Saccharomyces cerevisiae S288C: one gene and its partners. The protein of the gene in region 4 binds, or shares a complex with, the protein of the main gene of each other region. Each region holds a gene or a part of one and is shown on either strand. Other genes may lie near its edges. The genes, in order: RTC1, SEH1, MTC5 and SEA4. A codon is read from its position in the direction of its gene.

Region 1 (8,056 bases), on a different chromosome or scaffold from region 4:
TTTTGATCATTACCGCTGGTAAGAGTACCGTTAGATTTGTTCCCGCATTAACGATTGAAGACGAACTAATCGAAGAAGGGATGGATGCTTTTGAAAAGGCTATTGAAGCGGTTTACGCTTAAATATACTTTGTAAATTGTCATGTATAGATTGTTTTTTTTTTTTTCATCTTTATATTGTAGTATAAAAAATGCCATTCGGTCAGAGACACATAGGAACATCTTACGTGATATGTACATGTGGTGCGTCTTTCATACCTTGAATGATATAATTAATAAGAGTTGTCCTTTTAACGTCATCCTCTCTTTTTTTTTTTTTTTTTTTTTTTTCTCCTTCATTTTGACTTTTCCTTCTGTGTTAACATGATGAGTTTATACGTGCATCCTAACTAGTAGAATGTATATATATTATATTATGATTATATATATAATTTTGATTAAAATAACAATTATCTTAAGAAAAATTCAGACTATCTTACAAGGTGATTGATGGTTGAGGGTGTCTACCATTGGCACTGGAATGTGGAAAGAATTCCAAATGCCCGTCATCGGTTAATTTTAAAACTTGCTTGAATTTACCACCAATTCTCAATAGTGGTTCTTTGTCTTCAGATTTAGTCCATAAGGCAAACTTGTTACCACCTTTTCTAATGCTTAAAACGACACCGTTAATTTGGGAGTCGTCTTCATCAATTGTTTCACCAATAACTGCTAGTAAAGTTCTTAGCCATAATTCATCAATATCAGCACCTTTTCCTCTAAGTTGGAAAGACCATTTACCACCTTTAGCATTGGCTTCATCTTCCCATTCAGGTCTAACGTCATTACGGAAGACGTGGTAATCTGATTTCAATGGTAGTTCGTGTGGCTCAGGAATATTTTGAATGATAGCCCAAAATTCTTCAACAGTTTGGAATGAAGTGACGGGACGTAATAGATCAGACCACGACTCAGATTTATCGACGGCTGGCTTTGTGTACCATAAAGTCCATTTGGTGTTCAATGGGTGCTTGACATCGAAGTGAGCACTGTCACTTAAAACAGTCTTTGGAGTAGCTGTGGTATCATCGACTGAAACGTTTTCTTCAAACTTCTTGCTAACTTCTTCAACGGACATTTTTCTTCCTTTCACTAGTTTTCAGACAAAAATGCTTTTATTTTTCGTAAAACTCCTAGGAAGTACTCAAGCACTAACACAAACACATATGTACAATATAAATCCAGAATTAACACTACCTCTTGCAATGTAAAACTCTCTTTATCAGGTATTGCATTAAACTCTATTGACGACGAAAAAAATTTTCTTTTCGGAGAGGGTAATAAAATTTTACCCGACCTTTTTGACGGGTAATATTACTCTAAACGATTTAACTAAACAATGGTGATGATATGTTAAACTATACATTATGTGGAGAACCTAGATGAATGCAACACCGGGGCAACCGCCGGGACATTCTTGTTCATTCTCATCGAGAAACCATTCTTGTATGCACTGGAAGTGACCTTCGTGTCCACAGGGGAGGATGACCATGGTCAGTTTCTTTAATGGTCTTTCACATAGAACACAAGATGTATTCTTCTTCTTACAAGAGTCACAATACCAGTATCCAAACTTGTCCATGATCTTCTTATTGCCCGTCTGCTGAGCTTCCGCTCTGAGCTTTTCTTTAGAACTTTCGTTAGTGATTAACTCACCACAGCGTTCGCAAAACAACCGAATGGAAGATTGGTCACCCTCAGAACCCATGATATCTTCGAATGGGCAGTATTTTAAGACGTCTGCAGCAATGCCGAAGAGTTCGTATCGATGTAATAATAACAAGAAGTGAGCGATTGCGTCCTTTGCAATGTCGATTTCTGTTATTTGGTATATCGTTTGGAAAAGAAATAAAATATTCACCGTCAATACGACGTTCCCAGTCTCAGTAGCTTGATTGTAGAGTTGTTTGATGAGTTTTTTCGTGTCCCAGGGTGGGTCAGCGATAATTTTCTTGCATTTGGCAAGCTTTTTCGTCAATGAAGAAGACAGTTGTTCCCTACCAATGCTATCTGGCCGTGATGGCGCATGTCTGGGCGATCCGATTATTGGTGCTGTATGGGAAGAAAGCTTTTTAAAAGTTTCTAGTTGCGAGGTTGTTGTGGCATAGCTTTGTAGCGACGAAACCTTACTGCGTGGGCTTACGCTGTTGTAAGTAAACCTAGGAGATATATTGTCATCTTCGTTACCTATGTCCGTATCTCCATTGTAACCGTTGGGAGAATGCAACATGAAAGTATCTATGAATGACTTGCGGTGCTCACGTTTCTGCAATATTGGTATACTTTTCGCGATAGGAGACGCGTGAAATTGTGCTGACTTAGTCGGTGAGTCATGAGGCTGTTCTTCTTCTTGATGTTCATGTTCGTCTTCCTCTATAATCACATCGTCACTCACTGTTTCTCCCATTTTAGTCCTTGACTCCAAGCGTTGGTTCTGTAGCTCTTTTAGCTTAGTTAAAACTTCATCTGAATCCTCATTTGGCTGCGCATAGGGGATTATTTCCGTGTTTTTGAGCTGCTCTTTGAGCTTAGAAACAGGTTTCTTTTCGGCATCACTTGGTTCATCAGAGTTAGCACGAAATGCCTGCGGCCTTTCTTCAACTAACGACTCAGCCCCACTTGTCCCTGCACCATCCTCCTCTGGGAACTCTTTTCCTGTTTTCAGATTTTCTCCAGCTTCGAAATCGGAGCTTTCATTGGCATCCATATTAGATGCGTTATCTGATGAAATTTGGGAGGAGGTCATCCACTTCAAGTCCCATAACAATGAATCTCTTATCAAGATCCAGATTTTGAAGTTGGTTAGATCATCTATGGATAGATAAACAGATGCGTTATGCGTTGCAATAGATATCAAATCTACCAGTGTTTGTATTTTTTCTTGCAGTTCTGCTTCCACGTTCTTGTCGATCTTCCTAGCTCTGTCATGACTTTGCCTACTTGCAGAAATGGAAGATATACTTGATCTGACATCCTTCTCGTCAAACTCCCTCGAACTACTGGAATTTCTTTTGGATTTTTTGTTATTTACTTTTTCATTCATTAAGGTAGCCCATGTATTATTTTCTGGAAAATTGTATTTTTTCAAAAGGTGACTTTCGATTATTTTGTCATCATCATCATCATCATCATCATCATCACCATCATCATTATTATTGGTAGTAGTAGTATTATCACCATGTGTTTCGGTTGCGTTTTTAACGACGTCAATGTTCTCTATATCATTTTTATATGCAGTGTCTGCACTGTCTGAAACATTATGCTCTCGAATATACGAAAACTTGAGCTGTCTCGCCAAATATTTGAACTTTTCTACTGGAGAATTTTTCATAGAAGAACTTTCGGAAATGACGTTCTTTTTTCTTGAATGTGCGATTTTGGTTAATCTTATGTTATTGAAGATCTGCGGTATATCCAAAGTGATGATACAAGGCGGTTCAATGGCGATTTCTTCTCTATTTTCAGTTTGTGGCGTCAGGGATGTCAATGATGCGGAAGAGCTGTTAAAAGAAGATGCTCCAGATGCTAATGTTAAGCTTTTTGTGCTAAACGTTGGGCCTGCTTTTAAAGTAGGCGGCCTCTCTGGCGTAAAACTTGTTAATCCAGTATGGCTAAATCCTTTTTTTATCCCTCCAATTATTCCCTGGTTCTCTGGATTGCCATTCTTCGGGTTTTTTATTGTACCTGGATGCTTCTTGCATGTGGTACTTGAGGTAGGTTGAAGCTCCGGTTCTACCACCTCATATGAGCCTATCTCTTGGTCAACTGAAAGTAAACCGTTACCATCCAAATCTCTCCAAGTTGTTGTATTTTTGCTCAAATTTTCGAGCACTGTTGGTTCTTTGTTAATGTCCCAGCCATTTATACGGGTCCCCTTATCGATATTAAAGATCAAGTTTTCGTCCCACCATACTAATCCTAAAGAAGGCGTTTCTGATAGGAGAACATGTTTTGGAATGTACTTTCTTGCCAAGGAATAGATGCGAACTTCAGCTTCGTCACCCATTGACGATATTCCTAGTAATGAATTATATATATTACTACTATAAGCAGGCTTGAACTTCAATTTAGTGACTGGATAGCCCGTATTAATTGTTAGTTTGGGAAATGCCAGCGAGCCGCTATTGTTCAAGGACGTATTGGGGGCATGTAACGAGGGAGAGTTCCCGTAATTGAGGACTGTATTTTCGGCGGCATTGGCATTGTCGCCAACAAACCAGAGGCAGCATTTACCGTCTCTACCACCTGTAGCAATGTATTCTTGATTGGGATGCCAATTTAAACAAAGACCGGGTCCTGTGTGAGCATTTAATTTTTTTTCGTATTGGGCAGGTTGTCGAAGATCAAACTTTAGCAAGTATCCCGAATCGTGAATAGAAGCAAATTTGTAACCGCTTTTTAAATTACCATACGTTGATGAACCTTGATCGTTCTTAGATGCAAAATTGTAACCGGGCATCCATTTTACATCTCTGATTGAGTCAGATGCGGTATTTATACTAATGTCAGATCTATTTGAGCTTTTAGATTTATTGGAACGTAAATCCCATATTTTTACACAACTATCTTGTCCACCACTTATTATTAGGTTTGATTCGACCATGTTGAAGTCAAAACTATTGATAGATCTAGTGTGTTCGCATAAGGATGTTATCAAGGGATTGTCTATCGAGGAACTCTTATTGAGATCATATATCGATATCGCCGTAGAATTGTTGCACACTGCAATACAGTTCTTGTAATTATTAAATCCAGTCTTAACATCCGCAATGGTACTAAATTTGTTCTGTCTTGTTCTTTTGCTCAGCTTGGGCAAAAGGGATGTCGTTCCCCTTGTTGAGGTGTTGCTATTAGGTGTTATGAAATCATGAACGCATTTGATAGATCTATCTGAGGGCGAGAATTTATAGAGCCCCAAATGAGTTTTACCTGCACAAACAAGACCGTTAATGTTTGGATCATTCACTTTGTCTATACTAGATAATTCTTTATCCACTTTGGTGGTGTAAATGAGTCCAGACGACTTTCTTGTATTTGTGTTGATTGCATTTTTCTTTGTTTTGATTTTCATGTTCGATTTATTGCTCATGCTTCCGGTTGTTTTTGCGTAAGGATTCTTATCATATGGCAAATAACTATCGTTGAATGAACTAGTTCTGTGACTTTCAGGCATATAAACCCCATTACTGTAAGAAAAAGTTGGAGTTAGATTAGGTCGCCGTATAGAATCTAACACGGAAGGTTGTCCACTATTTGAGTAATGATTCATTCGAAAAGAAGAATTGTTGCTTGACGAAGATCCAAGAAACTCGCCCTTGCCTATAGAACTAACGTTTCTGTTTTTTGGTATCGGGGTACTCCCCTTGGGAATGGAAGCATTTTCTACGTGTGGTGATAAGCTCATGATTTTCAACTAAATCCACTCAATAGCTCACTCGCCTTCAGCCAGCAATCGCACCATATGTATTATCAATCGGTTTTCCTTTTTCAGTAATCATCGTTATATATCGATGTTTTTGACAAATTAAAAAGAACGTTCCGAGACAGAAAAATTTAAACTCTCCGATCATGCATAGCTAGACATTCAACAGTATTCTAAAATGCTATAGTAAGAAACCAAGAATAAGATCCTAGGGATTCATAGTATAATTTAATCCATATATAAGTTTTCAGCATGGATGCTTCCTCGGTTCCACCAAAGGTAGATGATTATGGAATGTATACAACTGAAATTTCACATCATAACCCAATAGAGTTGAAAAATCTGCTATCATCATCAGACTCCAGAAGAAATTCTCAAGATGAAGATAGTCTACCTAACAATACAAACTTAATCAAAGAAATTGACTGGCAGGGCGAGAAAGTTAAAACATATCCACTAAACTATCAAACTGTACCACTAGTAAAGCTGCAGGTGATAGCATGCTTGATTATGTTCGTAGTCTTTGGTATGAACGATCAAACAGTAGGTGCACTACTTCCTACGCTAATTGAATACTATCATATATCGCGGGTAGATGTCTCAAACGTATTTATAGTCCAATTATGTGGTTATGTGATGGCGTCTTTATCAAAAGAGAGATTGAATAAGCACTTTGGTATGAGAGGTGGTATGCTTCTAGCAGCTGGTTTGTGTATAGTATTTCTTATCATTTTAGCAACTGCACCTTCTAGTTTCTATGTTTGTATGTTTTGTGGCCTTCCTCTTGGTTTAGGGATCGGCATCTTAGATTCTACCGGTAATGTTTTAATGGGCAGTCTTTTAGTCCATAAGAATGAACTCATGGGTATCATGCATGGTCTTTACGGGGCAGCAGCTATGGTTACTCCTCCCTTAGTTTCATATTTTGTTGAATGGGGTCATTGGTCTCTTTTTTTCCTTATTCCTCTGTTCTTTTCTATAATAGGCATGATTGTAATCTTCCCAGCTTTTAAATTTGAAACTGCAAGTAAATACGACTACCTCTGCTCTGTGGAAAACAAAGAAAGCAACAATGATGTGGAAGAAGCGGGTGATAACTCGCTGATGGAATCTACCAAGGCGAGCCCAGGATTTTTTGAACTTTTAAGAAATCCTGCTATTTTCTTGTACTCATTGTATTTGTTCCTTTACTTAGGTGCTGAAATTACAACTGGTTCATGGTTCTTTAGTTATTTATTGGAAACTAAATCAAGTAATAAGGTTGCTATGTCATACATAGCGGCATCGTTTTGGACAGGTTTGACTGTAGGCAGGTTGTGTCTAGGATTTGTTACTGAAAGATTCTTCGAAAACGAGTATAAAGCAAGCAAAGCGTACGCTTTTTTAACTCTATCTTCATACACCTTATTTGTGCTTGTTGGGTTGATCAATTCAAGCTCAGTTTTCTATTTCGTCGTGTTATTTTTTGTTGTTTTTTGTTGTGGTACGTTTATCGGACCATTATTCCCAAACGCAAGTATAGTTGCATTACAAGTATTGCCCAAAAGACTACATGTGAGCGGGGTTGGGGTTGCCGTCGCCGTTGGTGGTTGTGGTGGTGCAGCCATTCCATATTTGGCTGGAGTTATTGCACACACAGTGGGAATCCAGTATATCCCACTATTGTGTTGGATTATGGTTGCGTTATTTACATTGGAATGGACATTGTATCCTAAATTCATAAAAGGGCATGAAGAATATTTTTAGTTTCAGAAACGCCATCGGTGCCAGTGCATTGCAACTAATTCCAAAATTAGAAAAATAAAGCTGTTGAATAATTGTAACAGAAAGATAGAAAGGCGGAAGATAAAAGGAACTTCAGACAACATATGGAACTTTTTGATATATAGTATACATAATGACACTCTTGGTCGTTTACAAATAGATAGAATTTTAAGGAAAAAGTAATACTATCTGAAGTCTATAAAGAGCTTTTGAAAGCTGCTTCAGTAGTGCAAAAAAAGTGTATAGTAGCCTTTTCAAGATAACATAATGTAACTAGCGGTACCAAGGAAACTGTAAAAGAATAGAAAAACATGCGAAAAGGTCGTAAAAATGGTCATTAAAAGGCGGGAGGTAGATGGAGTTCTGGAGAGGATCATAAATATAATAAAGGAGTACCGATATTCAACTCCCGTATGGTAAAGTATCAGTCAAGCAAATCCGTTGCTTTCAATTAGGCTCTGCAAATCATCAAAAAATTTATCATTAACAACAGAGTCTAGTGTAGTTAAAGTTTCCTCTGAGCTATTTCCAAAACTTTCAAAAAACAATTTAACAGCTTCGATGTATTCAAAACCAAACATCTGAGAATAGTGATTGATGAAATTTTCAATAACCATAATGGTGTCCCTAATTTGCTTGCCGCAGGTTGAAGGGTAATGACTTTGATTTAAAGAATGTGGCTCAACGACGCCCGCATTAATAACATTGAAGAAAAATAAGCTCGTATCGATTTCTTCATGTTGGCTGATATATCGATGGATTTGATTGAACTCATCAAGGGAGAAAGGTGTAAACTGCGAATAGTAATGTTTTAATCTCTTTGCAAAATCTT
Region 2 (4,825 bases), on a different chromosome or scaffold from region 4:
AATCTTGTTCTCTATAATCTTCCCCCATTTCCTTTTGTTTCTCCAATAATTGATTAGCTCTCAATGCAGAGTAAAACGTGAACGAAATATTCTTGGAGATAAAGTACTTTGCCCAAGCGATACGTTGCTTTTTGGTCAATAAATCTGCTTTATTAACTAGCAGTAAGTTTGCTTTTCTGTCATCTGACTCTTTTACATATCTTTCTAAATCGACAGATCTAAACAGCAACGGATTCCTCGCATCTACAATTTGAACAACTAAATCTGATCTTTCAACAACTCTCCATAACTGTTTCCAAACTTCGATATTTCTTTCAAACGGTGTTAACAACAAGTCTTCATTGCTTTCTTGTAAATGTGCCAATTTTCTTCTCCATTCTAAAAACGCTTCCTTTTCTTGCCTATCAAGCTGAAACTTGGACATGCCCTCGTTCCATTCAGGCCTCCTTGGAACAATCAAATCCTTAGCAAGCGCTCTTTGCTTCGCATTAAGATTTCCACGCTGCTCATTAGTCATAGAAAACCCTTGAGATGTCGCAGAATCATTACCGCTATCCATTCTAATAATTTTAACATTTGAATGTCTATCGGCCGTGAAATCTTTGTCTGCCAGTGCAGCTGTACTCAAGAATTCATCTAAAGCTGATTCTTGAGTTACAGATCTTAATTTAACCCAGTTGGCCTCATGCTTATCGGTAGTGAACCTCATTTCACCATCAGGTAAATACTCGATGGCATTTTCTTTTTGACGTGCATATTTAATAGCTCTGCCTAATTCAAGCTTATTTTTATTTTTACGGTGGGTAGGTTTTGGCCCTTTTGGCGCCTTCCATTTCTTGGGAGCTTCTTTTGGTGGCATAGTTGGTGGGGGTCCTCAATATCAGATTTAGTTTTGTGTTTAAAAGAAGTTGGCTTATAAGCTCATCACCTCTTTATTAAGTAGTAGAATGCATTTTCATTGACAAATTTTTTAATCTCGGCATTGAAAAATTTCCAGGCGAAAAGGCGAGGGAAGGGAAGCTTGATATAATTCGAAAGAATACCCAATATCAAGAATAATAATATCATTTGATGTAATATCATTATATTTGTAAGAGCTTTTTAAAAGCATCATCTTTCTTGATTCATCTGTTGCCTCGTATTATACAGAATAATGCACACGTATAAAGTACCAATATATAATGTTATGTATACATATATTCTTATTTATTGTTGGGCAGTAATTACTGACATACACTTAAATTCATTTGAATAAGTGGCTTTCCATAAACGTACCTTCCCATCATCCCCAGCACTGCTTAAGATTGTACCCGTTAAATTCCAAGACACGGACCAAACTTCGCCATTATGGTCATCATGCTCGCTTAGAAGTTCAACTTGCAAGTTTGATTGTAGCTCAGCTTTCTCTTCGGTATTTGAGTCTGATCTGCCCTGTGCATCCATGTCAACATCAGCACTATTATCAAACATATTTGAGTTAGTTAAAGACTCCTCTGAGGCCAGGGGACTTAGTTTTTCTGTGATTTTGAAAATTCTAATTCTACCATCTTTGCAACCTGTTGCAATGAGTTGATACCATCTACCAATGGAAGGAGCCCAGCTGATACTTCTTATTAAACTTTTATGACCGGGAAGTTTTGCTGCAACGTGAAGTTTACCGTCTTTACCCCTTTGGTATATAATCGCTTGTTCCAATGCAGAGACTGCGAGCTTTTCAGGAGAAAATCTCGAAGGACACCAAGAGAGACAAAAATCAGACTGTAAATGATTTGCTGGTGGTATAGATAGCACTTTCATCTCAGAAGTCAGTGTCCATGACCTTAGGTCAGAAGGTTCTAAGGCATCATAAAGTCTGAGGATTCCATCGTTACCCAAACAAGCTAATTTTAAGCCCAAATGCGCTGGCGCAAATTTTACACTATAAAGTGATCCTTTGGAATCATTCAGGGTACACAGCTTGTTCCAACGACGGCCAGAGCATTCTTCTTGGTCGGGATCTTCTTCCCATAATTTTACCGTCTTATCGTAAGAGGCTGAAGCAATGATGCGCCCATATTCTGGACTGGCCCAATCAATGGCCACGATACTACTGTCGTGAGCTCTCCATGAGTCACTGAGTTCCCAATTACTCGTGTCCTTGTCTAATTTAAAAACTTTAATATGTTGATCAGAAGAGCATGTTGCCACATGTCTTCCGTAAAAGTCATAAACGACATCATGAACTAAATCATCATGCCCACTATCAAATGGTTGCATATTCAGAAATATTATTGGGTCGTTCTTCTTCTTCCTTAGTATCTCTTCAGAAGGGAAACCTTGTTTATAATTTGGTTTACTTGTCTCTATTCAGTTCATGATTTTTTCCATCGTTTTGCCGAAGACTTAACTAACAATAAATAAGAGAAACAGATATATTAAAACTTGGTTGATAATGCAGCACGCACATTCAATCGCGAATAATATACAAAAGATTATTTCTAAAGTTACATATAATGCACACCGGGTGCTGGAAGTATAATACATGCAAAATAAAATGGGCACTATCTCGTTGAAAAGCATCAAGATGTTATTATAAATGATACGCACCACCAGGTGAAGGTTTGAGAAAAGAAAAAAAAGCACTAACTTTTCTTTCAAAAGGCCACATTATTACTCCTTCAAACTGTCGAAAAAGGCTTGTCGATCTTCCAGTAAAGATTGTGTCCATTTTTTAACTTCATCAGTTTTTATATCATTGATGGCTCCCAAAAATTGTTTCAAATCCTTCTTGCCATTATACTTTTGTTCGTACTCAAAACATTGAACCAACATTTCATACTTATCAATATCTTTGACATATCTTCCTTCCAAACAGGTCTGCTTTTCGTATGCTAACCAGTCATCAAGAATTTCCCTAGATGCGCTTTCACTGCAGGGCCTTATTATGCTTTCACAGAGATACTTGACAGTTTCAAATTCTCTGCGATGTTTCTCTTCCTTTGTCATTGGGTCATTAGGTGTAATATCACCAACTAATGACTCCGCAAAATCGTGAACAAGTGCGATTCTGATACATTTGTTACGATCAACATTCTTGTCCGTAATCAGCATGGTAGTTAAACCCATTCTGTACATATGGTCAGATATACTTTCGCATGGGTCAATACCATGGTCAACCCAACCAGTTCTTCTTTGCGTTTTCAAAAGTTGTATAATATTCAAAAACGCTAACTGATAATTTGGGTGAGGTTTCGAAAGAATTGCCAAAATCTCCCTAGGTATATTATCTTCTGGCTTCCAGATGTTAACTGCAGTCATTTTGTTTTTCCTGGTCTTTACCTCGAATAGGTTTTCTTGTTTTGTTATTTGTTTTCTTTTTGGACCCTATGTTTATATATGGATTTTGAAAATCTTTTAAAAAAGCGATAAAAGCGTTGGGATCTGCCACTGGTAACTTCAAAATAGACAAGACGAAAAAACGGTGAAAATGGGTGATAGAAATAATACAGAAGTAGATGTTGAATTAGATTAAACTGAAGATATATAATTTATTGGAAAATACATAGAGTTTTTGTTGATGCGCTTAAGCGATCAATTCAACAACACCACCAGCAGCTCTGATTTTTTCTTCAGCCAACTTGGAGACGAATCTAGCTTTGACGATAACTGGAACATTTGGAATTCTACCCTTACCCAAGATCTTACCGTAACCGGCTGCCAAAGTGTCAATAACTGGAGCAGTTTCCTTAGAAGCAGATTTCAAGTATTGGTCTCTCTTGTCTTCTGGGATCAATGTCCACAATTTGTCCAAGTTCAAGACTGGCTTCCAGAAATGAGCTTGTTGCTTGTGGAAGTATCTCATACCAACCTTACCGAAATAACCTGGATGGTATTTATCCATGTTAATTCTGTGGTGATGTTGACCACCGGCCATACCTCTACCACCGGGGTGCTTTCTGTGCTTACCGATACGACCTTTACCGGCTGTACAAAAAAAATATTGTAATGAAATACAATTTTTAAATCGTTAGTAAAACAGGTTTTCAACTGGACATTTTATCGAAACAAAAGAAACGTGGTAACTCTTTTTCATAATTGCGCTCTCTACAACCATTTGATACAGCGATAATTAGTGCTTTCCATAATCTAAATGAAAGTTACCTTTTATAGCCGTAAAATGAGTAGACAGTATGACTGTTCTGAATATCATGGTATAATAAAGGAGAAGTATGACAAAGGCTATGCACACTTTCTTTTTGCTCAGTTTGCGATGGAAGAGTACATTTACTCGAGCTATTACCTCAAATAAGCCGTCTCAACAGTGAGATGGTAATACAAAGTTCGCAATCAAAACACAAAGAAATATGTTGAGTACACTTAGCTGATTGACATTCTCCTGTACCATGATATACACACGACATATTGGTTGCACAACACTAAAAAAAAAGTCACCGTCTTGGTTCTTTCATTCCCTCTTCCAAATGGAACTACATACCTGAGACGTGACCTCTGTGCTTTCTAGTCTTAGTGAATCTGGAAGGCATTCTTGATTAGTTGGATGATTGTTCTGGGATTTAATGCAAAAAAATCACTAAGAAGGAAAAAAATCAACGGAGAAAGCAAACGCCATCTTAAATATACGGGATACAGATGAAAGGTTTGAACCTATCTGGGAAAATACGCATTAAACAAGCGAAAAACTGCGAGGAAAATTGTTTGCGTCTCTGCGGGCTATTCACGCGCCAGAGGAAAAATAGGAAAAATAACAGGCATTAGAAAAATAATTTTGATTTTGGTAATGTGTGGGTCCCTGGTGTACAGATGTTACATTGGTTACAGTACTCTT
Region 3 (7,624 bases), on a different chromosome or scaffold from region 4:
AAATTCTGCAAATACAACCACCATTGAAGGTATTGCAAACCAGCGTGTCAAAGAGTGTAACAGAATTTTGGCCATGGCTACAGAGCTCGCCAAATTTGGCGTCAAAACTACAGAATTACCAGATGGTATTCAAGTCCATGGTTTAAACTCGATAAAAGATTTGAAGGTTCCTTCCGACTCTTCTGGACCTGTCGGTGTATGCACATATGATGATCATCGTGTGGCCATGAGTTTCTCGCTTCTTGCAGGAATGGTAAATTCTCAAAATGAACGTGACGAAGTTGCTAATCCTGTAAGAATACTTGAAAGACATTGTACTGGTAAAACCTGGCCTGGCTGGTGGGATGTGTTACATTCCGAACTAGGTGCCAAATTAGATGGTGCAGAACCTTTAGAGTGCACATCCAAAAAGAACTCAAAGAAAAGCGTTGTCATTATTGGCATGAGAGCAGCTGGCAAAACTACTATAAGTAAATGGTGCGCATCCGCTCTGGGTTACAAATTAGTTGACCTAGACGAGCTGTTTGAGCAACAGCATAACAATCAAAGTGTTAAACAATTTGTTGTGGAGAACGGTTGGGAGAAGTTCCGTGAGGAAGAAACAAGAATTTTCAAGGAAGTTATTCAAAATTACGGCGATGATGGATATGTTTTCTCAACAGGTGGCGGTATTGTTGAAAGCGCTGAGTCTAGAAAAGCCTTAAAAGATTTTGCCTCATCAGGTGGATACGTTTTACACTTACATAGGGATATTGAGGAGACAATTGTCTTTTTACAAAGTGATCCTTCAAGACCTGCCTATGTGGAAGAAATTCGTGAAGTTTGGAACAGAAGGGAGGGGTGGTATAAAGAATGCTCAAATTTCTCTTTCTTTGCTCCTCATTGCTCCGCAGAAGCTGAGTTCCAAGCTCTAAGAAGATCGTTTAGTAAGTACATTGCAACCATTACAGGTGTCAGAGAAATAGAAATTCCAAGCGGAAGATCTGCCTTTGTGTGTTTAACCTTTGATGACTTAACTGAACAAACTGAGAATTTGACTCCAATCTGTTATGGTTGTGAGGCTGTAGAGGTCAGAGTAGACCATTTGGCTAATTACTCTGCTGATTTCGTGAGTAAACAGTTATCTATATTGCGTAAAGCCACTGACAGTATTCCTATCATTTTTACTGTGCGAACCATGAAGCAAGGTGGCAACTTTCCTGATGAAGAGTTCAAAACCTTGAGAGAGCTATACGATATTGCCTTGAAGAATGGTGTTGAATTCCTTGACTTAGAACTAACTTTACCTACTGATATCCAATATGAGGTTATTAACAAAAGGGGCAACACCAAGATCATTGGTTCCCATCATGACTTCCAAGGATTATACTCCTGGGACGACGCTGAATGGGAAAACAGATTCAATCAAGCGTTAACTCTTGATGTGGATGTTGTAAAATTTGTGGGTACGGCTGTTAATTTCGAAGATAATTTGAGACTGGAACACTTTAGGGATACACACAAGAATAAGCCTTTAATTGCAGTTAATATGACTTCTAAAGGTAGCATTTCTCGTGTTTTGAATAATGTTTTAACACCTGTGACATCAGATTTATTGCCTAACTCCGCTGCCCCTGGCCAATTGACAGTAGCACAAATTAACAAGATGTATACATCTATGGGAGGTATCGAGCCTAAGGAACTGTTTGTTGTTGGAAAGCCAATTGGCCACTCTAGATCGCCAATTTTACATAACACTGGCTATGAAATTTTAGGTTTACCTCACAAGTTCGATAAATTTGAAACTGAATCCGCACAATTGGTGAAAGAAAAACTTTTGGACGGAAACAAGAACTTTGGCGGTGCTGCAGTCACAATTCCTCTGAAATTAGATATAATGCAGTACATGGATGAATTGACTGATGCTGCTAAAGTTATTGGTGCTGTAAACACAGTTATACCATTGGGTAACAAGAAGTTTAAGGGTGATAATACCGACTGGTTAGGTATCCGTAATGCCTTAATTAACAATGGCGTTCCCGAATATGTTGGTCATACCGCTGGTTTGGTTATCGGTGCAGGTGGCACTTCTAGAGCCGCCCTTTACGCCTTGCACAGTTTAGGTTGCAAAAAGATCTTCATAATCAACAGGACAACTTCGAAATTGAAGCCATTAATAGAGTCACTTCCATCTGAATTCAACATTATTGGAATAGAGTCCACTAAATCTATAGAAGAGATTAAGGAACACGTTGGCGTTGCTGTCAGCTGTGTACCAGCCGACAAACCATTAGATGACGAACTTTTAAGTAAGCTGGAGAGATTCCTTGTGAAAGGTGCCCATGCTGCTTTTGTACCAACCTTATTGGAAGCCGCATACAAACCAAGCGTTACTCCCGTTATGACAATTTCACAAGACAAATATCAATGGCACGTTGTCCCTGGATCACAAATGTTAGTACACCAAGGTGTAGCTCAGTTTGAAAAGTGGACAGGATTCAAGGGCCCTTTCAAGGCCATTTTTGATGCCGTTACGAAAGAGTAGACAATAATATATCTATCCTTTTTTATATTTTACAATGCTTCTATGATATCTTTACTAAGTATGAGTTGCCAAATAGTCAGTGTGACTGCTTACATACGTTGAATTTCTGTATATTTTTACTAAGTTGCAACAGTTAGATAATTACAAGTTACCCTTACATTCTGTGGGATGTAGTCGAAGAACATCTCAGAGTAGGTCATCAAAAGATGCAAATCAGCTGAGCACCCCACTTTCAAAAACATTGTAAGATATTTGAGGGAAATCGCCTCTGGCCCGTTTATTCACTGAAGAATTAATTATGTGCAGTAGTATAAATGAAGGTCCGTATAATTCGCCCACTTTTGGAAAATCATTATCGTTGAAAGTAGATGGTGGGTTCAATGCCGTATCTATCAATCCCTCTGGTAGGGATATTGTTTTGGCCAGTCGGCAAGGTCTTTATATTATCGACCTGGATGATCCGTTTACACCTCCAAGGTGGTTGCATCATATTACGCCCTGGCAAGTTGCTGATGTACAATGGTCGCCACATCCCGCAAAACCATATTGGATAGTCTCGACATCGAATCAAAAGGCAATCATATGGAACTTAGCAAAATCTTCATCAAATGCCATTGAGTTTGTACTTCATGGGCACTCAAGAGCAATTACAGATATAAACTTCAATCCGCAACATCCGGATGTTTTAGCTACCTGTTCAGTCGATACGTATGTACATGCTTGGGATATGAGAAGTCCACATAGACCATTTTATTCGACAAGTTCATGGAGATCTGCTGCTTCTCAAGTGAAGTGGAATTACAAGGATCCTAACGTCTTGGCATCTTCACATGGAAATGATATATTTGTGTGGGATTTGAGAAAAGGCTCCACTCCCCTCTGTTCTTTGAAAGGCCATGTAAGCTCCGTAAATAGCATAGATTTTAACCGGTTCAAATATTCTGAAATTATGTCGAGTTCGAACGATGGGACGGTGAAGTTTTGGGATTATTCAAAAAGTACGACAGAATCAAAGAGAACTGTAACAACAAATTTTCCAATCTGGAGAGGACGTTACCTTCCTTTTGGAGAAGGTTATTGTATTATGCCAATGGTTGGAGGCAATAACGCAGTTTATCTGATTAATCTATGCGACGATGATGACAGTGAACAAAATAAGAAGACGAAACTCCAGCCAATATATGCATTTAAAGGGCATAGTGACCGAGTAATTGACTTTCTTTGGAGATCAAGACATACGTGCGATGGGGATTACGACGATCGTGAATTTCAATTGGTTACTTGGTCCAAAGACTGCGATTTAAAACTATGGCCAATTTCTGATAGTATTTATGGGAAAGTTAACTTTGACAGAGGCAAGAGACTTGAGGAGAAACTACCAGATTATGATTATTGCTCATACAATAAGGAACCTGAAAATAGGGAAAATGTTCAAAAGAATGAGTTTAGGCGTTTACGAGAAAACTTTGTGACAACTTCTGGATTGAAGAAAAACAAGACAAACCACATAACATGGCTCTCAGGAATTAGAATGAATAGCGCAACTTCACAAGAGGATTTATTCAATGAGACAAAAATCCAAAATTTAGGAGAGGAAGTAAGCGCCATTGGTCACAAGTTCCCAAAAGTCGTTTTTGAAAAGATATCCGTGTCCACAAGGGAATTGTGCCTGACGCTTAATGGCCCCTGGTCAGAGGAAAATCCTGATGATTATATATTCTTACGAATAAGTATTAATTTCCCTCTCAACTATCCAAACAAAGGGGACCCCCCCAAATTCACAATTGAAGAGAATTCAAATTTAACCATGAGTAAGAGACAAGAAATACTTTCCAATTTAGCAACAATTGGTCAAAAGTATACTGACTCAAATCTTTACTGCCTGGAGCCATGTATACGATTTGTTTTAGGTGAGAAGGTTAGCCTGGAGGACATCGAAGAAGGGCAAGAACCCTTATTAAATTTTGATATTGCAGATCACATAGATTTTGAAGAATTATCGTCACTGGATAGTTCATATTCCGATTCTCAAAACCCGGAAAACCTTTCTTCGCAATCAGATATAGAGTCATACAAGGAAGCACTGGTATTCCCAGATACTTCGAATCAAGGTTTGGATTTTGGAAGAAATTTAGCTCTTGATACGACACCTGTTCCAAATGGGTGTGGATCTTGTTGGACTGCAACAGGTGAACTCTTCTGCTTCTTTGCAAATGAGAAAAAACCCGAGAAAAAGCAAAATGCAATAATTAAACTCTCTCAAAAAGAAGCAGGGGTAGAGAAGCATCCTTTTAAAATTGAGCCTCAAGTTTTATATGATAAGGAAGTTGACAGCAGTGTAATCACCGCTGCTGATGAATTGAAAGCTCGCCCTAAGCGGTACGTGGACACCTTGGGGCTGGGAGGCGGTACTAATGGGGATTCAAGAACATACTTTGACGACGAGACATCTTCCGACGATTCATTTGATAGTGTCGCGGACGATTGGGACGATATATTGAGAAATGATATAATAGTGAGAACAAAAATTCCAATACTAAGAGGTAATTTTAAAGCTTTCAGCTCAGTACATTCGGAATCCGGGAAAACAGTAGAATCTACCAAAAAAAATAAGAATTTAGTGATTTCCAAAAATTTCAGCAGTTTATTAAGCGACCGCAAAGAACTAGCATTAGAATACTTATTTATGGATGCCACACCGGAAGGATTTGCTAGAAATAACGCTTTGGTGGCAGAAAAGTTTGACCTTGATGAAATTAGTCATTGTTGGCAAATATTATCTGATATGTTGATAGACCAAAGTGATTACGATCCTTATACTACTATATGGAATAACCATCCCATGGGGATAAAGTGGTTCATAAAGGAAGCGATTGTCTACTTTGAGAGGCAACAAAATTTACAGATGCTGGCCATGTTATGCTGTGTCATATTAAGCGCCAGGAGAAAAAAGATTCCAGCCAGATATTATGGGCAAGAATTAGAGAATATGGAAGGAACCATTGTGTTTAATGACAACGAAAGTCAAAACACATCATTTTGGAAAGGATCTGATGCTTTTTCCACCAGGTCTAGGAGTAGCACTGTTACACCAAATTTTTATGGTAATCATTTGAGAGGAAAAAACATTCATGGAGGAGACAACTCCTCAATAAGGTCCGACGACCACCACGCTAGGTTAAGGACGCACAACACTCTTAATGGTAGTAGTAAATTTACGGAGCCGGCCCAAAAGCAGGGCAGCCGTGCCATTTCATCCAGCCCTTTTCATAGTAGAATGCCTGACATCAAAGTCGAGCTTTTACATGACGATATTATAGAAGCTTATGAACAAGAAGACCTCTTACATTTAGAGGTATCAGACATACCAAAGTTCCAAACTTATATTTATCAATATTCAAAGTTACTTTTTAGATGGGGACTGCCTTTAGAAAGGGTCAAAATTCTAAAAGTTAGTACTGATTTCAGAAGTTCTTATAGTTCCCAAGGCATCCCCCCTAACAATAACAAGAAAAGTCCTTACAATGGTGTACTTACGCACTGGATCGAGAACAACGAGTTTGGAGAAGAAAAATTCCTAGCCCGAAATTGTAATTACTGTGATTTAAGAGTGACAAGAAGTAGCTTCATATGTGGAAATTGTCAACATGTTTTACACTCTTCGTGCGCGAGGATATGGTGGGAGATTGGTGATGAGTGCCCATCTGGATGTGGGTGCAATTGTCCGGAAATGTTCGATGCCTAAAAGCTTAACTATCACGTACATTTTCTGCATATTTCAAAGAACCTTGGATGTATATGAAAAAAAGTTCACAGGATATATGGCTTAATAAGTAGTTTATTTACGATTTTTTAATCCAGTAGAGGCATGATAGAAGACGACAACGGAATCATTGAGCGTTGGAGGCATTTTTACAATGGCTCAGTAATCACGAATAAAAGTAGGTGGAAGTTGAAATCTATTATTACATATTAAAAACTTCAGAAATACTTGAGGCTATATATTGTTGTACACTTAACCAATCGTATAACGGAGCATTGGAACAAGAAAGCTGAGTAGAAAACAGGTTACGAAAGTTGTTTGTTGGCTCATTTGTTCAAAGTCATTAACGAAGCGATAAAAGTAATAATTAATCTTGCACGAACTTCGTTGATATCTTCTGGCACCAACCAAATCAAAGCACCCAACTTTCTAGCAATAGAAATAGCCAATCTTGCGTTTGCGTACCTTTCTTCCTCGGTGTTACCAGGGGTGACTAGATCATAATCAACATAGCCCGGCGCGATACCATTCAGAACATCCAATAAGAAGTGGGCGTTTGATAAAGCTTGGTCCTTAAATGATCTAATGGTAGAGTTTTTACCACCTTTAGTTACCTGGTCTTGGGCCCACTTTAATATTTGAGAATCACTCATGTCTCTACCACTTGAGGATAATGTCTTCATGGTTATCGAAATATTTCTACGCATCAATTGCCACACTAACCCTAAGGTCAGTAATTTGTTACCATCTACAATATCAGATCCTTCGATACCAACCAAAGAAAATCCTTTGGCTCTGCCCAAGTCGACTGCATAGTTGGTGTTTTCTAAGGCTTTGAATCTGGATATCTCTGCACCCGAGGCCGGTCTTTTGTTGACATGTTTAAAATCAACAGCACCGGGCATCACCTTTTCGTAAGCTTGCAATAATATCAAACCATCCTTCAAATCATCAAACAGCGAAATGACAGGTGGATCAACGTCAAGAGAGTTCAACCATAAGGTAAAGACTCTTGCCTCTCTCTCACCTTCGGCGTCAAATTCTTCAATTTCAGGCTTTTCCTCTTCCTGAATAGGCTCTAATCCAGGATGTGTATTGAATAGATGTGCCACGAAAGCCAGGTTTAATTTAGGGTTCCCCGCAACTAATGAACTTGGGGTTAAATACTTTCTACAATCTAGCTTTTCAGCATTTTGTAAAACTTGCTCAGCTCTCTCCATTAAATCTGTGGTTTGTAATGGTGCCTTAGAACACAAGGCGGGGTCCAACTGGTTCAACAAGATAGTATAGTTTTCACCATCAGACACGTCTTTTGAAAAATTGGTAACCCTTCTGTT
Region 4 (7,089 bases):
TCCAATTGTGAAAAACTCATGACTGTAAACTGCTCCCTATATGTGTGATACTATACTTACTTTTCCTCGCTAGAGCTTCTCTCCGCAGCTACTGTTCTAGGTTTTATTCCTATTGATTATCTAATATAGTTTTAAAAATCTATACTGAAAGGGGATCGACGCTGAATACCTCTAACGTAAGTGTGGACGAGTGGTGGCAGAGACTTTTACAATGGTTAATAATCAGTCTCTACTCAGCCAAATTGAATAGCAGTGAAATCGTAGCTCTTTTACTGCTCCTGAACCTGTCGTATTACTTTCGATAGAGTAGATCAACTTTATTATCCACGCTTGTTAACTCTTTTCGTCGGTTTTTTTCGCCTTTAAAACTAGGCGGGCTGGGTAATGAAGATAGCAATGCCTCATAAATACAATGTTATACTAATTACGTTTTTTCTTTGGTTATGTATATATATTGTGAGAATAAAGAGAAGTTGCAAGATTTGGTTTATTGTACAATACTACTTATTACACTGGCAGGTGCAACCTGGAGTGGGACAAACATTATGTCTGTCAAACCATTCTTCAGCGTGACCGGCATGCATACCATGGTTGCAACTCAAACAGAAGCTGAACCACTCGTTCAACTTCAGTTTTCTACTTACGAGTTCGCGATTTGCACCATCTTGAGAGTCTTCTGTCTGCATTGGATCGCGTGATTGCGTCCCATTTATTACAAAAGGTAAGTTTGACGTTCCTAGAGGCATGAGACATATGGCACATCTTGGAAATGAAGACCCACAGTGTGGGCAACAATACTTATGTCTTGGCTTTTCATCAGCTGCTTGTGCTTCAGAACTTCCAGTATTAAATTTCTTGTAGTCAGCGTTATTTCTTCTATAGGCTTCACCATTTTTGTAATTTCCAGCACTAGTAGAGACGGCGCTAGAAGGTGAGGATGTGCGCGGAGTGTTGATGTTTTGTTTACAGTTTTGACATTGGATATATATTTGCCGGGGCTTTATGTCTGCAGTTAATACACCAGTTTTAGTTCTCGATAATTTTGATCTTAAAACATCGAACCTGGCTCGCATGGAGAATAATTCCCACGATTTAAGCATATCTCTATAAGTTTGTATCCATTCATCTACTCGTTGGTCGCGGAAATATCTAGGGGAGCCGAAAATTGATATCAGTGCGGCACTCTGAACATCGCTGGTTTTATTAACGTATGATTGCAGTAGATCGATACCATTAGGTGTTATTCCGGTGAGAATTAAACCTTCTAATTCGCCGTTTTCAATAACTGTAGATGAAGTTCTATCTAAGAAAGTGGTTAGGTCTGTATCATTCAAAAACCTTAGAGCTACCCCTAATCGTTCTCTCAAAGATATGGCAGGTTCATAAAGAATATCCCACCAATCATTGTCTGCGATAAAGGCGAAAATAACTCTCAAGTAAGGATCATCTAATTCGGAGGACATTTTTCTGCATTGCTGCCTCCATGCATTGTTACCTGGCAGATCCTTATACGCCAAGTAACCTGCAATAGCGGTGGCAATTAGTCTCAATCTTTCCTTTTTTGCAGATCCCAATATTTCTACAGCCTTTGGGATATCACCAAAAAATACCGCCCAAGCGGCAGCTTTTTCATAATGGCCGTTTTTCATAATTATGTTGTACTTGTCTTCATAATCAGATCTGGAAAGGTCCCATCCTGAGATAATTAAACAGAGTCTTCTCTGAACGTACTTTGGTGAACCAGCGGCATTGGCAATAGGACTGTTCCGATCCCTATTTTTCCTTCTTAGTTTGATGATTTTTTCCATTTCTTTATTTAGTTGTTTATCAGAAAGAATTGTCTCTTGTCTATATCTGTCTTGGTTCGATATTCCGTTTATACCATTCCAAATACCTATCACACCTTCGTAACCTAAGTCAAGATCACCAGAAACCATCGTACCATCGTCAACAGAAGCCTTTGCAATCGCGATCCACCTCCATGTGTTCCTTATATAAGCATTGTTTTGTAGATTTTTAGAAGAATCAATCATCTCTACCGTGTTCATTGGATCCAAACCATATCCCAATGAAGCTCGCGTCCTCATTATTACACTTATATCTTTTTCCAGAAGTTTTTCTGGCTTCCAGAACAGTTCAAATCCACGCTTACTGTCAAGGACATCATTACTCCCTTCATTTTCCTCTTCACTCAACTCGGAGTACTCAATTTCATTATTAGGTTCATCATGTCCAGACGGAAAGTAATCTTCGCTAACATCTAAATCCTCAAACGATAGATTCTTTAGGATTGTTTTTACATTCTCTAAGTTGGACTTTTCATGCTCATTGTTGACTCTAATTTCATCTATCTCAGTATTTTCAAAATTTGACAATAAGAGAGAGTTCCTATTATTGAGTATAGCCTTGGAGCATACCTCTGAAATTGGCATTCTGTATATTGTTCCCGATTGTCTCATACAGATTAGACTTGTTCCATTATTACTTCTTGGAATATAATCAAATGTAGCAACTCTATCGTACATCGTATTTGTGTCATGCACGGAAGAAACAAACAAATTCTCAATATTCATCTCGTTATCGTCATCTGCCGCAATATCACGATTGCTATCGCAGTAATAGCCTAACCTCCATCTTTTGATGGTATCACCTCTATGTAAGGTGGCAAATTCATTGTTCCTCACACATGACCACCTAAAGCAAGAGTTCATGTATTTCCTTGACGCTGCACCGGATCCAACCAATTTTTCAAAAGTTAATAAAGGGGAAGCTACATTTAAATCACCAAGTGAAGCTTGGTCAGATAATTTTCTCCTATCCCAAATAGCTAAGGTCCCATCATCCCCATAAGTACTAAATTGCCAATCGTTAAACGGGTTCAGTTTGATATCATACGTCAATCGTGTCGGATGTTGATAAATTGGGTTGGGGGATCTGACGTCAATTTCTTTCAAAAATTTCGTACTTGCAGCCAATACACTGGTATCGTTGAGGAACTTTAGGGATACTATGCTTTCATTTGTGCAATAACTAAACATTGGGTTGATAGTTTCATGCGAATCATCATGATAATTCATGTCCCAAATTTGTAAAGATGAATCATGCTTATTTCTGTCAAGACCCATTGCTATAAGACCATTCGTATTTATTCCCAGAGAGTTTATACACCGCTGCTTCTTTGCTCGTACACGTATATCATAATTGGTTTCTGAAACAGGGTACCCTTGGGTATCCTTTAAATTTGAGACAGATCCAACTATATTTTCCGCCTGAGCTGCCTTACCACCGCTGGCATTTGTCATAGAAGTCTCGTTATTGGCATTTAAGCCCACTGGCGCATGGCTCGCTGGCGATGAGGAATTTTGTCCAGAGATATTAAAAATCCTTAAATATCCATTCTTTTCACCAACTCCAATCATACCAATTTCTGATTCTGAATAGTCTAAGCAGGTGATACTGCCGAAGTCTTTCACAGTGTGTAATTTAATAATTGATTCATCAGATTCATTTTCCGGATCCACTTTATAGTGGGTCACTTCATCTCTTGTAGGGTTCACTGAAAGATAATCAATCAAATTATCATATGACCAATGGGTCACTTTTTTGATGAGACCCATGTTTATTCTTCTATACGTTCGTGATACTGCACTTACGACTACCAGTAACATCAGAATAACCATAGAGCTTATGCTATCTTGAAATATATCATCGCCGTAAAGTATGATGTGTAGCGCATTAGTCTTCTGCATTCATATTATCAGTGGTATACCGTTTGGTATATGCTTTCCAATCATGAAGTGTTGGCTCTACTCTATATAAATTCGACATCCATTGATTTTCTCAATAAATGAGTTACCCAAGTAAGCTTTCCATTGATACAAGTGATCTACATTCTTGCGACGCCAAATTATAAAGCACTAAAAATCATATCATACCCAATTGCGGGCAGCACATGTATATATTATACACTACTTATAACTAACCTTCTTCATATATAACAATATGCCTGATAATACTAATGCATTTAAATCATATCATGAAAGAAAATTACATGGGTTTTATTGACATAATTGCATTTAGAATACATAAAATTCTAAAGAATTAATATATCCAAAGTATTAGACATAACCAAGAATAATAGTGAATAATTTTAGATTTTGTTACATATAATTCTGCTTGCCTATCTCTTCCACTCTTTTCAAAACGTTGCATGTAAGCGTTACTAATATTCCGCTTTATTTTGTTGCAATTCCTAATTTTTTCATTACATTATCTTGCGAGTACGGAAGCGATTAACGTTCTCCCAATAGAAGGAACAAACATAGATATTGAAGTTTTACTGCTTTTGCTTACCTGACCTTTTTCAAATTTAATTTTTTCCCGCTAATAAGACCATAAACTACCCCGAACCAAATTCTAAAAGATAGTCAGCTGGATTAGAGTTGTCATCTCCAAACATTAATTTTGCATTATCTTCGGCTTCAATCAAATCGCCTGATAAGAACTCCTTTAATTCTTCATGAATGTTTGTATGTGGATGACTCTCCATAGTGCCAGCATGATTGTGGTTACCGACCGAATCATATAACGGTGGCTCCCAATTGTGCAATTCAGCCTTACTATTTTGTTCATTCATCAAAGCATTTGGGACAGATCTAATATCTATAATTCTTTCCTCACTATTCTCGCTATTATTTTGCCCCGAACTGGCATGGTGGTTATTGGTAAAAGGAGATAATGCTGCGACAGAACTTTTCTTCTCTTCCAATTCTTTTATCTTCGCCAATAACGCCTTCTTTTTTCGTGCTTGTATTTCTAAAATTTCGGCCAGGTATTGTAAATATTCGACCGTTCTATCCAAAATGATACCCTTATTTGGTTTGATTTGTTTACCTAGGTCATCGTAATTCAATAAAGATGGTGGAACCAACTGGCCGAGTTCTTTTATCTTTTGCTTTATTAATTCTCTTCTTCTCCTTTCGACGGCATTATGAAACTCTCTTTTGCGCCTCAGTTTCTCATCAGAAGTTAACCCGCCTAAAATCTTTGGAACACTTCCAGGTCCTATATTTTCAGTCATATTGCTACTTATTGAAGTGTGTCTTGTTCTGGGTGTGTTTATGCTACCATGCCTAAAAGAAGATGAAAGGAAACTTCCTGCACGAAATGACGATGATGGTGATCTTACCTTTGGGGAATATGTGGAAGATACGGATGCTGGGCCCAAGCTTTGTGGATTATAAGAAAATGATGATGAATATGTGTTTGGTGTCATCATATCAGAATTGATGCTAGAAGATAAAGAGGAGCTCAAATCATCAGTTAAGTTATACATTGTGTCATCGGTGCCATGCTGAAATAAAAAGTCATGTGGTAACTCAGCTTTTAAGCCTTCTTGTTGCTGTAATGGAGTATTCATTGCTCTATCCACAGGTGAGTCGTAAGCCATAGAATAAGATGATCTCAAGGGACCCTGCCCTATGGAAGATATGGAATTTTGAGTGACAGGTCTACCGCCTTGGCTTGTTCTAAACATATCATCCAGGTAAGACGATTGCGATTCTGCTTCCTCATATATGGTCGAAGCTGTAGGAGTTTGTGAATTGGACCTCGCTTGACTGCCCATTAAGTTATTATTATCGTTAGAGTTGTGCGTATTGATGTATGAGAGTTTTTCATGCTGTTGGGCAGGAGTCTCACCACCTGGGTAGGCACTTCCGTGTATCTTGTAATCATCATTGTGGTGTGGAGTGGGTGTCACTAACGAAAAATCTAAAGTTTCCTGGAGGACTTTTGTCTGGTTCATTAATTCGTCCAGTAGACGTTGGTTCTCAGCCTCACTTTCGTTATTGTTCATCATTCTTCACTTATTTAAGAAGTAGGTTCGCCTGACAAAAAATAAGAGTATTCTATTAAAGGATACTTGTCAACTAAGTAATGTGAATGCAGTAATGTCGTTTTTGTTATCTTATATATGCTCACGTAAGACAGAAATTCGGATTGTGAAAAATTCCTTGATGATTCCGTGCAGCCTCTAGCCAAAATAGCAACTGCGAGTAAAAAATAATGTACTAACCTGCAGTAATATTGGAGATCCTACTGTCCGGACCGAGTAGTACAATTGTTAGTTTCTGTTGCTCATAAGAAGGCTTTTCTAATCACCATGGCTTTATTATTTCAAAAGTAACTTGCGAAGAGTCACATCCCGCGGAACGGCCCGCAATCGTGACCCGGCAAAAGGCGATTGTAATGAAGAGGGAGTATTGGTCAAGACTTGTACTATACTGAAATAGGAAGAAGATTGAATAAATTTGCATTCTAATTGCGTTCGGTAGTTTAGAGTAGGACTTAGATTACCTGTATTGTCTGCAGTTGCGTTTTTTTTTTTTGCTGGTAAAAAAAAAGAACAAGTGTGGAGAATATGAGCGAGGAACCACCTTCTGACCAGGTCAATAGTCTCCGTGACTCATTGAATCGATGGAATCAAACAAGACAGCAGAACTCGCAGGGTTTTAATGAATCTGCGAAGACATTGTTCTCAAGCTGGGCGGATTCTCTCAATACCAGGGCCCAGGATATATATCAGACGTTGCCTGTATCTAGACAGGACTTGGTGCAAGACCAGGAGCCGTCGTGGTTCCAATTGTCAAGAACGGAAAGAATGGTACTTTTTGTCTGTTTTCTTTTGGGTGCAACAGCCTGTTTCACTCTTTGTACTTTCCTTTTCCCCGTTCTAGCCGCTAAACCAAGAAAGTTTGGTTTACTATGGACAATGGGGTCCCTACTATTTGTTCTTGCGTTTGGGGTACTTATGGGACCACTCGCGTACTTAAAACATTTGACTGCAAGGGAAAGGCTGCCTTTTTCGATGTTCTTTTTCGCCACATGCTTCATGACGATTTATTTCGCAGCCTTTTCCAAGAACACGGTGCTGACTATTACATGTGCTCTTCTTGAATTAGTTGCCGTCATTTATTATGCTATTTCATATTTCCCATTCGGTGCAACAGGTTTGAGGATGTTAAGCTCTGCTGGTGTCAATTCGGCAAGAGGTGTTCTGCGCATCTGAATTATCATTCATAGTGCATA

The links.
Region 1: the proteins of SEA4 (region 4) and RTC1 are in contact, whole or in part, in a cryo-EM structure (PDB 8ADL), measured with the Saccharomyces cerevisiae proteins. Residues at the interface, in NP_009446.2 of Saccharomyces cerevisiae: Lys842 (codon at 1,094), Glu845 (codon at 1,085), Phe847 (codon at 1,079), Ser848 (codon at 1,076), Arg850 (codon at 1,070), Ala851 (codon at 1,067), Arg852 (codon at 1,064), Asp854 (codon at 1,058), Val855 (codon at 1,055), Ser858 (codon at 1,046), Arg862 (codon at 1,034), Leu868 (codon at 1,016), Ile872 (codon at 1,004), Lys873 (codon at 1,001), Pro874 (codon at 998), Arg875 (codon at 995), Gln876 (codon at 992), Ile877 (codon at 989), Tyr878 (codon at 986), Ile879 (codon at 983), Gln880 (codon at 980), Gln882 (codon at 974), Gln886 (codon at 962), Asn887 (codon at 959), Tyr941 (codon at 797), Phe950 (codon at 770), Pro951 (codon at 767), Arg952 (codon at 764), Cys953 (codon at 761), Ala954 (codon at 758); in NP_014503.2 of Saccharomyces cerevisiae: Arg705 (codon at 3,330), His1212 (codon at 1,809), Glu1215 (codon at 1,800), Phe1217 (codon at 1,794), Gly1218 (codon at 1,791), Ala1221 (codon at 1,782), Asp1222 (codon at 1,779), Leu1224 (codon at 1,773), Lys1225 (codon at 1,770), Met1233 (codon at 1,746), Asp1238 (codon at 1,731), Gln1239 (codon at 1,728), Ser1240 (codon at 1,725), Ser1241 (codon at 1,722), Ile1242 (codon at 1,719), Arg1243 (codon at 1,716), Leu1244 (codon at 1,713), Phe1245 (codon at 1,710), Cys1246 (codon at 1,707), Glu1247 (codon at 1,704), Leu1252 (codon at 1,689), Phe1278 (codon at 1,611), Gly1279 (codon at 1,608), Tyr1280 (codon at 1,605), Trp1281 (codon at 1,602), Thr1291 (codon at 1,572), Ser1292 (codon at 1,569), Val1294 (codon at 1,563), Leu1295 (codon at 1,560), Cys1296 (codon at 1,557).
Region 2: the proteins of SEA4 (region 4) and SEH1 are in contact, whole or in part, in a cryo-EM structure (PDB 8ADL), measured with the Saccharomyces cerevisiae proteins. Residues at the interface, in NP_009446.2 of Saccharomyces cerevisiae: Leu286 (codon at 2,762), Leu287 (codon at 2,759), Thr288 (codon at 2,756), Phe289 (codon at 2,753), Arg313 (codon at 2,681), Trp329 (codon at 2,633), Arg330 (codon at 2,630), Gly332 (codon at 2,624), Tyr333 (codon at 2,621), Tyr334 (codon at 2,618), Asp336 (codon at 2,612), Leu354 (codon at 2,558), Phe355 (codon at 2,555), Val356 (codon at 2,552), Ser357 (codon at 2,549), Ser358 (codon at 2,546), Val359 (codon at 2,543), His360 (codon at 2,540), Asp361 (codon at 2,537), Ser399 (codon at 2,423), Glu400 (codon at 2,420), Val401 (codon at 2,417), Cys402 (codon at 2,414), Ser403 (codon at 2,411), Lys404 (codon at 2,408), Ala405 (codon at 2,405), Ile406 (codon at 2,402), Leu407 (codon at 2,399), Asn408 (codon at 2,396), Asn409 (codon at 2,393); in NP_011415.1 of Saccharomyces cerevisiae: Met1 (codon at 2,256), Gln2 (codon at 2,253), Pro3 (codon at 2,250), Phe4 (codon at 2,247), Asp5 (codon at 2,244), Ser6 (codon at 2,241), Gly7 (codon at 2,238), His8 (codon at 2,235), Asp10 (codon at 2,229), Leu11 (codon at 2,226), Val12 (codon at 2,223), His13 (codon at 2,220), Asp14 (codon at 2,217), Val15 (codon at 2,214), Val16 (codon at 2,211), Tyr17 (codon at 2,208), Phe19 (codon at 2,202), Tyr20 (codon at 2,199), Gly21 (codon at 2,196), Arg22 (codon at 2,193), Val24 (codon at 2,187), Ser29 (codon at 2,172), Gln31 (codon at 2,166), Leu38 (codon at 2,145), Ser43 (codon at 2,130), Asn44 (codon at 2,127), Trp45 (codon at 2,124), Asp55 (codon at 2,094), Ser56 (codon at 2,091), Ser57 (codon at 2,088).
Region 3: the proteins of SEA4 (region 4) and MTC5 are in contact, whole or in part, in a cryo-EM structure (PDB 8ADL), measured with the Saccharomyces cerevisiae proteins. Residues at the interface, in NP_009446.2 of Saccharomyces cerevisiae: Arg838 (codon at 1,106), Lys842 (codon at 1,094), Phe847 (codon at 1,079), Ser848 (codon at 1,076), Arg850 (codon at 1,070), Ala851 (codon at 1,067), Arg852 (codon at 1,064), Asp854 (codon at 1,058), Val855 (codon at 1,055), Ser858 (codon at 1,046), Arg862 (codon at 1,034), Leu868 (codon at 1,016), Ile872 (codon at 1,004), Lys873 (codon at 1,001), Pro874 (codon at 998), Arg875 (codon at 995), Gln876 (codon at 992), Ile877 (codon at 989), Tyr878 (codon at 986), Ile879 (codon at 983), Gln880 (codon at 980), Cys881 (codon at 977), Gln882 (codon at 974), Asn887 (codon at 959), Asn889 (codon at 953), Pro891 (codon at 947), Pro951 (codon at 767), Arg952 (codon at 764), Cys953 (codon at 761), Ala954 (codon at 758); in NP_010413.3 of Saccharomyces cerevisiae: Leu795 (codon at 5,205), Met797 (codon at 5,211), Asp798 (codon at 5,214), Phe1038 (codon at 5,934), Pro1043 (codon at 5,949), Leu1044 (codon at 5,952), Arg1046 (codon at 5,958), Val1047 (codon at 5,961), Lys1048 (codon at 5,964), Lys1051 (codon at 5,973), Thr1054 (codon at 5,982), Pro1074 (codon at 6,042), Tyr1075 (codon at 6,045), Asn1076 (codon at 6,048), Gly1077 (codon at 6,051), Val1078 (codon at 6,054), Leu1079 (codon at 6,057), Thr1080 (codon at 6,060), His1081 (codon at 6,063), Trp1082 (codon at 6,066), Ile1083 (codon at 6,069), Asn1085 (codon at 6,075), Leu1094 (codon at 6,102), Ala1095 (codon at 6,105), Arg1096 (codon at 6,108), Asn1097 (codon at 6,111), Asn1099 (codon at 6,117), Tyr1100 (codon at 6,120), Cys1101 (codon at 6,123), Asp1102 (codon at 6,126).

The regions. Positions count from the first base shown.
Region 1 is NC_001147.6:59,909-67,964, forward strand, and holds RTC1 (Rtc1p), read right to left. Parts: upstream 5,443-8,056; coding exon 1,417-5,442; downstream 1-1,416. Other genes in the region: ARG8 (acetylornithine transaminase), read left to right, coding at 1-122; CDC33 (translation initiation factor eIF4E), read right to left, coding at 475-1,116; BSC6 (Bsc6p), read left to right, coding at 5,713-7,206; PFK27 (6-phosphofructo-2-kinase), read right to left, coding at 7,653-8,056. UniProt on the Saccharomyces cerevisiae protein: Component of the SEA complex which coats the vacuolar membrane and is involved in intracellular trafficking, autophagy, response to nitrogen starvation, and amino acid biogenesis. May be involved in a process influencing telomere capping.
Region 2 is NC_001139.9:310,665-315,489, reverse strand, and holds SEH1 (Seh1p), read right to left. Parts: upstream 2,257-4,825; coding exon 1,207-2,256; downstream 1-1,206. Other genes in the region: ribosome biogenesis GTPase LSG1, read right to left, coding at 1-859; YGK1 (5'-deoxynucleotidase), read right to left, coding at 2,650-3,297; 60S ribosomal protein uL15 RPL28, read right to left, coding at 3,563-3,963, 4,475-4,523. UniProt on the Saccharomyces cerevisiae protein: Functions as a component of the nuclear pore complex (NPC).
Region 3 is NC_001136.10:706,727-714,350, forward strand, and holds MTC5 (Mtc5p), read left to right. Parts: upstream 1-2,822; coding exon 2,823-6,269; downstream 6,270-7,624. Other genes in the region: ARO1 (pentafunctional protein ARO1p), read left to right, coding at 1-2,524; SAC6 (fimbrin), read right to left, coding at 6,614-7,624. UniProt on the Saccharomyces cerevisiae protein: Component of the SEA complex which coats the vacuolar membrane and is involved in intracellular trafficking, autophagy, response to nitrogen starvation, and amino acid biogenesis. May be involved in telomere capping.
Region 4 is NC_001134.8:17,677-24,765, forward strand, and holds SEA4 (Sea4p), read right to left. Parts: upstream 3,618-7,089; coding exon 501-3,617; downstream 1-500. Other genes in the region: PKC1 (protein kinase C), read right to left, coding at 1-20; RTG3 (Rtg3p), read right to left, coding at 4,400-5,860; SFT2 (Sft2p), read left to right, coding at 6,422-7,069. UniProt on the Saccharomyces cerevisiae protein: Component of the SEA complex which coats the vacuolar membrane and is involved in intracellular trafficking, autophagy, response to nitrogen starvation, and amino acid biogenesis.